Linked DNA regions of Neodiprion lecontei. The protein of the gene in region 1 interacts with the protein of each later gene in a pairwise test. Links are inferred from orthologs where the notes say so. Each region holds a gene or a part of one and is shown in the gene's direction. Other genes may lie near its edges.

What was found.
Region 2: the proteins of protein mothers against dpp (region 1) and thioredoxin, mitochondrial interact in a two-hybrid assay, tested with the Drosophila melanogaster proteins (2 studies listed by BioGRID). The link is inferred for Neodiprion lecontei from reciprocal best matches to the Drosophila melanogaster genes Mad and CG8993.

Annotation. Positions count from the first base shown.
Region 1 is NC_060262.1:38,138,918-38,146,934, reverse strand, and holds the start of protein mothers against dpp, read left to right. Parts: upstream 1-1,974; 5' UTR 1,975-2,844; intron 2,845-3,038; exon of another isoform or gene 3,039-3,041; 5' UTR 3,042-3,245; intron 3,246-6,537; 5' UTR 6,538-6,639; coding exon 6,640-7,886; intron 7,887-7,998; coding exon 7,999-8,017. Other genes in the region: stress-induced-phosphoprotein 1, read left to right, coding at 1-30.
Region 2 is NC_060264.1:29,028,018-29,031,556, reverse strand, and holds thioredoxin, mitochondrial, read left to right. Parts: upstream 1-1,642; 5' UTR 1,643-1,771; intron 1,772-1,902; 5' UTR 1,903-1,910; coding exon 1,911-2,080; intron 2,081-2,500; coding exon 2,501-2,624; intron 2,625-2,723; coding exon 2,724-2,843; 3' UTR 2,844-3,028; downstream 3,029-3,539. Other genes in the region: adenosine 3'-phospho 5'-phosphosulfate transporter 2, read left to right, coding at 197-553, 643-987; uncharacterized protein C7orf50 homolog, read right to left, coding at 3,207-3,494.

The DNA of each region.
Region 1 (8,017 bases):
CTTGAATCCGGACTTGTAGCAATACATTGAAAAAGACAGGGGAATGGAACAGCCAACAATATCTATAAGAATTTACCAGCTGTACCCGCCTTAGAAGATAACAACGTAATACAATATAACATTCTATCATCGCTGTGTTCCTTCATTACGATGAAGACGGCTTTACATTTAGTTAATGATACGTTAATTTTACAATTTTTATCGTATTCTACATACAATTGGGTGAATGAGGTTTTCGACTCCAGCGAGTGCTTGCCTTTGCTGTTTTGTCTATTATATTGTATTGTGATGCGATTTGCTAGTCAAATCGGTCAAATACCTTTTCTCGATTTTTCAGAAAAATCTGCAAATACGAATTACGAATTTCCCAATGTCTGAAATTGGGCAAGTTTTTTGTATCGGTAAATAATTGAGCTAAAAGGAATAATAAATATTGTCGCATTGTACTTTACTACGAATAGTTTTATTTACTATATTGCTAAATTCGTTCCAAAGTTTACATATTTCCGTGTATAAATTATGTACCCCAAGATGGTACCATGCTGTCTATAAATTGTAATTTTACTTATCTCTTTCAAGTATTCCTGTATTTATTTTATTATTCTTTTCAACCTCGTTGCATAATTTTTCGTCTTCTCCACGTAAACTCGCAAGTGGTAGACTTTTTATATGTTGATGGGTATGCATACAAGCAATCTATCGGGTGACGACTAACCAAATGATGAGTAAGGATATTACAGGAAAGAGAAAAGGAAAAAATAAATAAATACTAATTATGTGAAAAACGGAAAATATACTATGAAATAGTTCATAACGTATCTAATAATAAAAATAAGACAAAAAAATTTTAATTTACTAGCCCATGAAGGCAAGTTCTGTAACGCATACGCTACATTTGGCATTAACATCCGATTCCTCCATCACCTGAATACATGTTGCGAGGGGAGACAAAAAGTGTCGTGTTTCAAGATAATCGAGGAATCAGGTGTAAATACCAGGTGATCTTTCCAAATTTTAACATGAAACTTCAACAGGAAAAGCCATCATATTCATCGTCGTACGTAGCCATTTTTTTTTTTTTTTTTTTTTAGGCAAATATTGATTGCGATACTTTATCTTGAATTGTGCTGAAAAGTAAAGTACAACCGCTTATTATTTATTCCAATAAAGATAATAAATATAAATACATAATGTAAACATACTACATGCATATATAACAACATTATCTATATCTATTGATAATTAAAATATTGTATACACATATTTGTTCTTATTATGCCTCTGATCTTGTAAATGCGTTGCATTGTGTTGTCAAAATATAGCATAGGCAAAAATAGCATGCAATTGCCAAAAATAAATGCAGAAATTGCGTTCTCTTTGCAGAGTTGATCTTACGGTATGACGTCCCATTTCGGAGTTTCGGGGGACTCCGTTAGTGCAGCAAGGCGAGCGATAAGGCCCTGAATACCTTATCATCATCTTTACATACATGCCCTACCAATTGGAATCATCCTGAAACGCCGTCGATGAATTTACAAAACAAGGTCAGCCCGACCGAGATAAAACAGTGGTTTCTTGCATGCCTAAAACGTGCGGAAACGTTTTGCGAGCATGGCAATTTCCTCTTCGACTCAAAATATCAGTCCTTGACCGAAGGCTATCAAAGACGGTTACCCTAATGGGGTATTCGTGCGATGATGGGATTGCGTGTTGAACGCCTCCCGCCGATAAAGAAGCTACCGTATCGTTTTAAACACGGCTTCTCAACGCCTCAGGCCCACTTACCTGCCGATCAATGGTCACGAAAATATGCCCCTGGGATAACAGTCTAAGTTTTTTCGTCAACCTCGTAATTATCAGCGACGTTGAACACCCAGAGAATGCCTACATAAATCAATCGAACCAGTCAATCAGTTTCCCGTTTCACAACGGAGTCGCCAGACATCGTCGAGATCCGCGAACGACTAGCTGCTGCAGCTGCTGCAGTAGCTGCAGTAGCTGAATGCGGTTTGCGGGGAGGGTCTGAAGCAAGCGCAACCCGTGCGGATATTCGATTAGCCAGAGAAGAGCCGAATGAGATGTGAAAAGGGGGGATTCGATCGCGTTGTAATGAGAATTGGTGCGAGCGCGGCGCACACGCGATTGTCGAGTGACGTGCGTCGGCGGTGCGCGCGTGTCGTCGACCGTTGGGTTAGTGGTTGGGATCGCCTCTGTTCTCGGTCACCGGGGGCGCCGGTAGCTCTGGCTATGGCTCTGCCTGTTTGAGCCTTCGAGCAGCGGCGGCGGCAGCATCAGCAGGCAGTCGAGGCAGTGACGCGCGTCGCCCGTAAACACGGCCGCCATAATGCTATGCGACATCATGGACGGTGGTGTGTAAACATTAGTGACAAATAACGTGCTCAAAAATGTGAATCGTTTCCCGAACTTCCGTTTCAGCAACGCGGGTGTTTAATCGTGCGTGTCGGCCAGTACTCCACAGCGCGCACCAGTCTCGCCGAACTCGGCCAGCAATTACGACCGTCGTCTTGCTCGATACCGCGGGTTAATCTTGTGCTTGTGCCCCTCGCGAGCCTGCTAGCCTCGCGAGGAGTAGTCGGTTCGTTCCTTCGACCGAGAGAGCCTAGCGCCGTCCACTGCATGCATGCCCACATTGGCGTGGGGCAGCGGCGACTGATTTCACACAATATCGGCCAGTCTGACGGACGGGGAGCGAATTCCGCCGATAGCCGAGGCGCATCGTATCGCCTACCTGCCTCGCTCGATCCGCACGAGAGTTTAGATCGATTCCGGGGGATTATCGAGCCTGCGTCGATCCTCGTTACGAAATACACGCATATACACGAAGTGAGTGATTTTATTCCCCGGCGTTGTTTTGTTTCGCATCCTTCTTTTTTCTATTTTTTTGTTTGATTCTTCTCATTTCAATATTACTTTACCTTCGCCGCAACTTACTTAACTTTGCGTTTACTTTTGCAATTTTTCTCACTATTCGCTTCTTCTTACATTCTTCTTCTTTTTATTTTCAATCGCCCTTAAAGCAGGGGATCGTCGGATCCTGAGGAGAACGTTGGGAGATTTACGCTACGAGTAACCGCCAACAAACAACAAACGCTCGCCGCACGCACTCTGACTCGTTGCAATTGACAGTGACGTATCTTTACTCGAGGTGCTTCTCGGAACCCCGTCCTTTCGCCAACTTAATCGTCGAAGGAGAAAAACCAGCAACTCGCATTCGCGGAGAGAACGTGAGTAAATGTTACATGTCACGAATTGCCACACAACTCGATTCATTCATACATTCATTCTCTTACGTAGAATATTCCACAGGGTTGTCGTTGTTGTTGTTGTTTTTTTTATCTTTTTTTTCTTTCTTTCTCCGTCGAAGTGTAAATTTATTTCAATTTTTCGTCCCAACAAGTTTCTAAGTGCTATCACTTTCACCCTGCAACGTATATAATATGTATCCGAACAATGAAACGATGCAAATTACATTGGTATACATCTCGAAACTAATTACCGATTTCCGAATGCTAAGAACAAATATCCACGTCCCTCGAATCGGATAATTCCAATATGAATTTTAAAGCCTGTCACTTGTTTTTTCAATTTGTGTCTTACGCTTTTTCATGTTTATTTATTCTCGCTGACCAAATCTTTTACCTCCGAGATCTGACCGTCTTGACCCACGATTTCACCCTGCACGCGGTACAGATTAGGTATGGAATAATTAATTGATTAACCAATTAAGAAACAGTTTCTTTTTCTGTGATTCGATAATTTTATTGTTTACTTTTCAATTTTCACACACGTACCGAAGTATACACGCGAACAACTCGTTACCGCGATTTATCAAACGTACACAACATCCGTGTAATTGGTTTTTTTATAATACGTAAAATTAAATTTCTTTATCGTTCGCAACAGTCTGCCACTATTATATGTACATTACATGTATAAGTATGTATAATTTACAGAACAGCGAGAGAGGGAGAGAAAGAGAAAAAGAGACTCGCGCGACGGATCAAAGAGGGGTGAGGGTAGGGCGGCGATCGCAATAATAATAGAATAAATAAAGAAATTCGATTGAAAGAAATATTCTCGGAACTGTAGTGCCGCTCTGCTCTGCTCTGCCACTTGCCCCGGGTAGTGATTATATATATATAAAATATATATATATGCATATACACTTACACACGTATGCATATACATATATGTACCGTGGTGGTGCAGCAATGGAGAAGGAAGGAAGGAAAAACTGATCGACGAACACGTGTTAATTCGTATACGAAAGCAGCGGGAGTTCGTTTTCAAGTCTCATTTAAGCCGCGTTGTATTACACGCAATAGGGTTCAGACCCCATAGCTCTATGGCGTAAAGTTACGGGGGCGACAAGCGAGTCGTTTCTATCACTTTCGCGTTTTTGTTTTGGTTTTTTTTTATTTATTTTTTTGTTTCATTCAAAGAAGATTGCATTTGCAACCGTGCGACGCGCTCTGTATCGAAATTCCTACAGGTATCCATTGACGAATCGCCGTTCGTAGATATACAGAGTTTGGGATTTCTTTTGCTCTATATTTCGAACGATCGGTCGAATTATTATAGTCGCAACATCCTGTCCGCGTGTAATAATAATACCAGGTGGGTGAGAGAGAAAAAATTCTTGCAGGCGTGAGTCGTCTGGCGCAGTTTTGCGAAAATTTTTCATTTCAGTACAATTTGTTGGAAAGTTGCAAAGCAATATGATGCGTCGAAGGTGAACAGTCGTGTTCTACGTAACGGCACGGCCGAAACTCTGAATGACCGAACGTAATGAATGACGTACGTGTACATGTATTTATACGTTTGTACATATACGCATGCGTTTGTTAATTTCTTTTTCTTTTCTCGTATTATGTTTTATCAATATATTCTTATTATTGCCCATTTATCATCGTCATTTGATTTCGTTGAAGTGCTCGGCAAGTGCAATGACTCACTGTAAGCGGAAAAACGGCAACTGATAGGAAGGGTGAACGAGCACGTTGCTACGCCCGCCCCTTGCCCGCCAACCTTATACTCTACTCTACTCTCTTATTATACGCTCCTCTAACACACTGCGCGTGTAATTTCGCGCCGTTTTTTTTACTACCGCGCCACGTCAGTTACTCTATTCATGTACGTATGTACGTACATAAGTTCCTCTTACGCATATTACACGTAACACGAACACGCGCGGAAAGGCGCACGCGTATCTATCCAACGCTTTGCATTAAACCCTGTTTCATTAAATTCTGCGTATAAAATATAGTGGATTCTGCAGACCGCGCGGTGCTACGCGGAGTACGCAAACGGCGCGCAGAGCGTAAGATCCATACTTTGAACCTCCACGAAATTACGTACTTCAATTGGAACGTGTAAAACATATAATGTATATAATTCTAATTTGGTGTAAAGAATAAAAATAGATCACAGGTGGATCAAAAGTTTATCACCGCGTCGGGGAAAGAAAAAAATCTATTATTCTTACCGCCGACTATATAATTGTTTAATTATAGGCTACTTTTCTCTTTGGGTATATAATCACGTTAAAAATCCGTTGTAAAATTTTTATTTCAAATCCTTCAAAACCAGTTTCTTCAATTCTACGGATCGCCACTAAATTGCGGACAACTTTTGGTAAATATGTACTGCACATTCTACGATCTTTTTCGGGTGTTCGGTTTGCAATGTAAATATTACACATATCACGCAAATATATTTATATGAATATATGTATTTATTTGTAAAAGAAATGCTGACGGTTAGCCAAATGATTAATCACGATCGCCTGCAGATGTTTACTCAACTGCGTCACCAAAAAACACTCATATAATATGAGACAATAGAGCACTCATAGACTATTATTATTATTATTATTATTACTATCATCTGTGAACGAATCGAACGGTAGATATTTGAAAAAATTGCCAGGTCTTCGGAGTTACGAGAATCTTAATTAACGGCTTGCCAACATAATGCGCTGGAGACACAATGAATAACCATCGAGGTATCGAGTGTTCGCAGAAACTTTGAAATTCAGGCATTCGTTCAACCTGTTCCGCAGGGTTTCATTACCTGAGAACGCTCGACGACCCTTCTTCCACCTGACTGACCCGTAACTAATTTGAACCCTGCAATCCCCATCAGCTGGCTATTGTTTTTCCGTAGTTCAAATATTTTTGCAAGATCGTGTCAACCAATGAATTGAATTGTAGTATTTTATGAACAGACGATGATTATAGATGAACACATATTAGAGTTAAGAAATTATCTTTCAACCGAATATGTGACTGATGTAAACAAAATTTATTTGTTTCGTGACGCTTAAACTAAACATATAAAATCTAACCGCGGTGATTTATGTCCAACTTCGATATCTCTAAAACTGGTATCGTGGCGGATTATGGAGGAAAGATGAAAAAATTCTGTTAATTTCTCTAAAGAATTTTTATACCAACGAACAATGCACCAGCAATCGAATTGAACAAAAAAAAAATAAAAATTCCGTTTCGTTTTCAGGTGGAAGGTGGAGACGGACGAGGTCTTAATACTCGCGAACAGGATTCAAACCCCGGAATCGACGACCGTTTTGAAAATATTCTGAGCCAGTAATAAATCGCGATGGACGACGAGGAGGGTTCGTCGAGTTCGGGTCCGATGTCGTCCCTGAACAGTTTGTTCTCGTTCACGAGTCCGGCGGTAAAGAAACTGCTGGGATGGAAGCAGGGCGACGAGGAGGAAAAGTGGGCCGAGAAGGCGGTCGACTCGCTTGTGAAAAAACTGAAGAAACGAAAGGGCGCGATCGAGGAACTCGAGCGAGCTCTGAGCTGCCCTGGGACGCCGAGCAAGTGTGTGACGATACCTCGGAGCCTGGACGGTCGGCTCCAAGTCTCGCACCGGAAGGGTCTGCCGCACGTAATCTACTGTCGCGTGTGGCGGTGGCCGGATCTTCAGTCGCACCACGAGCTCAAGCCCCTCGAGCTCTGCCAGTACCCCTTCTCGGCGAAGCAGAAGGAGGTCTGCATCAACCCGTACCACTACAAACGCGTCGAGAGTCCGGTTCTCCCGCCCGTTCTGGTCCCCCGACACTCCGAGTTTGCCCCGGGCCACTCGCTCCTTCCCTTCCAGCAGCTTCCGGAGCCGACAATGCCGCACAACGTCTCCTACTCGTCGAGCGGCTTCAACTCGGGGACAGGCGTCGGCGTGAACCCGACGTCCCCGCTCTCCTCCGTCGGCTCGGTGCCCAGTCCGGGCAGCACGACATCGCCGAACCCGCAGAGCCCTTACGGTAGTAACGGCCTGCCGGAAACACCACCGCCGGCTTATTCCCCTCCGGAAGACGGCTCGCAACACGGACAGTCGCCGCCTCCTGACGCCACGGCGATGGATACGGGTGGCTCCGCCGAGGTAGCACCCGTTTCGTACCAGGAGCCACCCTATTGGGCATCGATAGCCTACTACGAGCTGAACTGCAGAGTCGGGGAGGTCTTCCACTGCCAGTCGCACTCCGTTATCGTCGACGGATTCACCAATCCCAGTAACAATTCGGATCGGTTTTGCCTTGGGCAGTTGTCGAATGTAAACAGAAATTCGACCATAGAGAACACCAGGAGGCACATAGGAAAGGGGGTTCACCTCTACTACGTAGGCGGTGAGGTGTACGCCGAGTGTCTATCCGATTCGGCCATTTTTGTACAGTCCAGGAATTGTAATCACCATCACGGATTTCATCCCAGCACCGTATGCAAAATACCACCAGGATGCTCGTTGAAGATATTCAACAATCAGGAGTTCGCGCAGCTACTCTCGCAAAGCGTTAATCACGGATTTGAGGCCGTCTACGAGTTGACCAAAATGTGCACTATTAGGTGGGCCGAGAAGACCTGTTCTACCTATTTTGTCTTTATTAGTAGCAGAGAAAACCCCACTTTCAATAATTCCAGTCGAGCTCACAATCTCAACTTGAATTCTTATTTTTAGGATGTCTTTCGTCAAGGGT
Region 2 (3,539 bases), on another chromosome or scaffold:
CACTCAAGTTGAACTCAACTGCTGAAAGAATTTATGATAATAGTAACTCTTTTTTCAGTGAAATATTGTATCAAATGTTTTATCGAATATTGGCATATTTGACTATTTTTTGAGAGAAATAATCATCTAACAATTTTGTGATTGCAAAGCAAATAACAATTAACTTTATAAAACGTTTGTGAATTATGTCCTTTAGGTGATATTCAAATGCTGCAAGCTAGTCCCAGTCCTAATAGGCAGTATCTTGATACAGGGCAAAAAATACGGCCCCTTGGATTTTCTCGCTGCAATTCTGATGTGCATAGGCTTAGCGCTCTTCACAGTTGCCGACAGTATAATTTCCCCTCGATTCGATCCAGTCGGCATCATGATGATCAGTTGCGCCCTGTTATGTGATGCGGCTATAGGAAACATTCAGGAGAAGGCCATGCGCGAGCACAAGGCGTCGAACACTGAGGTTGTCCTATTCTCATACAGCATTGGATTCGTCTACTTATTCCTGATACTGTTGACAATATCCGACCTACAGACGGGTGCTTCTTTCTGTGCCGAGGTAAAAAAACATTCAACCCAATTTAAAGATTGTTGTGGATGTTGTTACTCTTTTTGGTTCATTTTTATATATATTATTACTTGTTTCAGCATCCTATTGAAACGTATGGACTTGGCCTGCTCTTTTCACTGTCCGGTTACTTGGGTATACAGATTGTTTTGACTCTGGTCCAATGCTGCGGAGCATTCGTTGCAGCAACTGTTACGACATGCAGAAAAGCGATATCGATTTTGATTAGCTTTATGTTCTTTTACAAACCATTCACCTTCCAATATGTGTGGTCTGGCCTGATCGTCGTTCTTGGAATCTACTTGAATATTTACAGCAAGAAACGAGGAGGGACTAAAGGTGGCTTTAGAGAATTATGGATAGGACTTAAGCAGTGTTGGATTAAGCACAACCGAATACAAAGACGATTACTGACTAATGTTTAATATTCCTACCAGTAACGAGGCAAACAAAGTTTTTTGTTCCTATTATGAATTATAATTATTATTGCTCAGTCAAATTATTTTTACTTTTTTCAATTCCTTGCTTCTCCAAATTCCTGCAAATCCGAAGACTCGATTAAAGTAGATTATTTTATTTATTAGAGATTACAAGACCAGCTATATATAGGTATATATGTGTGTGTGTGTGTGCGTGTGTATATATATATATATATATATAAGCTAAGATTTCAGTAATTTCCAGAGAAATAATTCCGGTATTATCAAGAATGAAAATGGAATGGAAAAGAAAATTTCGAAGTCCGTGTTTCGTATTTAGTATGTGATTTATAAGAATATTCGGAACCCCAAGTTAGCAAGCGGACGGTTGCGGCCTCACCCGTCTTCCCGCCACCCTGCCGCTCGTTGGATGATAAAAAATCTCGAACTATTCCACGTGCTTACATAATCAAATTTCAATAAGAATATAACTTATAGATATACAATTAAAATAAAAACAAATGTTCAAGTAACAAAATTCTATAGATATACCTAAATATTAATGAACAAATTAAGGAAAATATTTATTCCAGGACGGCGTACTTCTCGATTATTTGTTTAATCTAAAGCTTCTTTTTTTTTTAAATTAACAGTAGAATTTCCTCCAAACTTCAAAAATGGTTACGTAAGAAATTACTTTATTTTCACGATGGCGAAATGTTGGTAGCAGTGTCAGGGATCCAACCCGCAAATCGCATTATTCATCGTTCAGATTCAATCAAGAACTCAGGTGATTTGATGCGTCTCGTAGACAAATACCGATACATTTCAAATTACTCGATAGAATACTTGGCAGCGATCACCTGCCATTATCAATTAATCGCATACTAAGTTGATCGTCACATCATATTTTATTTCTAGGCTAAAACATGCTACGCGGTGGAACCAGGATCTTGTGTAACGCTGTCAAACGAGGCTTTGCAAATGCTCCGGCTCAAGAACCCGCCGTTCAGGCTGCTTTCACTGTTCAAGATCCAAAGGATTTCAACGACCGCGTTAAGAACTCGAAAATCCCGGTGATCATCGACTTCTTCGCGACGTAAGTCCCTCAGGACAGTCTCATGTCTTCCCTGGGTTTTAGGTTATGGAAGCATTAAAAATCAAGGTCGTTTAAACCTTGAGAGTCTAGAAATCAGGGAATTCGACTAAGAATCTAAAACTCGTGATCTAGGAAACTCAAATTAACTGCTGTCTAAAGAATTATTTCCTGATTACATGTCAAATTCAATTTGTTGATTCGTAGCGCAATCAAAATTTCCTTGTGATACTCTGAGAATAATTCCAACATCACCTAATCGTGTTATGTTGGATATAATTATTGCCACATCATATATGCAGTTGATTTTAAAATTGTATGGAGCTTAAGTTTTTGGTTAAGAAGAAACCTCTGAGAGTGCAACAGTTGCAAACCAAAATGCACTTCATATCAACTCACTTATTTCAATTTGTTTTTGAACAGATGGTGTAATCCGTGCCGAATGCTGACACCCAGATTAGAATCTGTAATTGCCGAAAAGCAAGGAAAAATTGTACTGGCCAAAGTTGATATTGACGAAAACACCGATCTTGCCTTGGACTACGAGGTTTGGTCAAGTTTTTACCTCAATGTATTTATTTACACTAGTTTGAAGCGATGAATTATACTCATACGTTTTGCTATCACCCGCTCAAAAAAAAAATAGGTTGAATCCGTCCCGGTCCTCATTGCTATGAAGGATGGTAAGGTTCTGGAGAGAATAGTTGGACTTCAAGATACGGATAAACTACGACAGTTCGTCAATAAGTATGCTGATGCAAAATAATCATCATTAATAAATGCGTAAATTCTTTTAAACCGTAGTCCTTAAAAATGCTCTGGCTTTTCATATGACTAAATGTAATTAGCTATTGTAAACAATGTATATGAATTTATTTAATGATTATACACATCAACATTATATGTTACGTTATTAAAAGAAAAGGAAAAAAGAATAAACTATCGCAACTAGATTTTCACTCACATTCACTCACTCATTACCGATAAAAATAAATATGTGTGAAATTAGGTAGTCAAAAAAATTACGTCACTGCTATCAATATCTGGTATAAAAAAAATTTACCAAATAGTATAAGAGCCCCCATAGGCCTAAAAGTTTCAATAAAAAGTAAAAATCTTGTATCATCTTTCAAGCCTCTGTGGGGAGTGCTTGAAGGATTTGTCTAGCTCTCAGGTATTCCGAAGTGGCTGTAGCCTCAGTTTCATCTTTATTGCTGGCCACCTGTTCCTCGACTTTCTTTACTACTTGCATCATTTTTTTAACTAGCTGTTGCCTTGCCATTCCTTTGCAACCTTCAAAATATTCCAAAGCTATAGGAAATATCGAGTCTGGCACTGAATTGTGATCGAGCAAATGGTCCATCAGCCATATCTGTCTTAGTTTTTCAAACTTCCAGTCGCTCTTCGCATGCTTCCACTGTAAGTTAAATTAAGTTCTATAGGAACATTAAGGGGCTGCCCT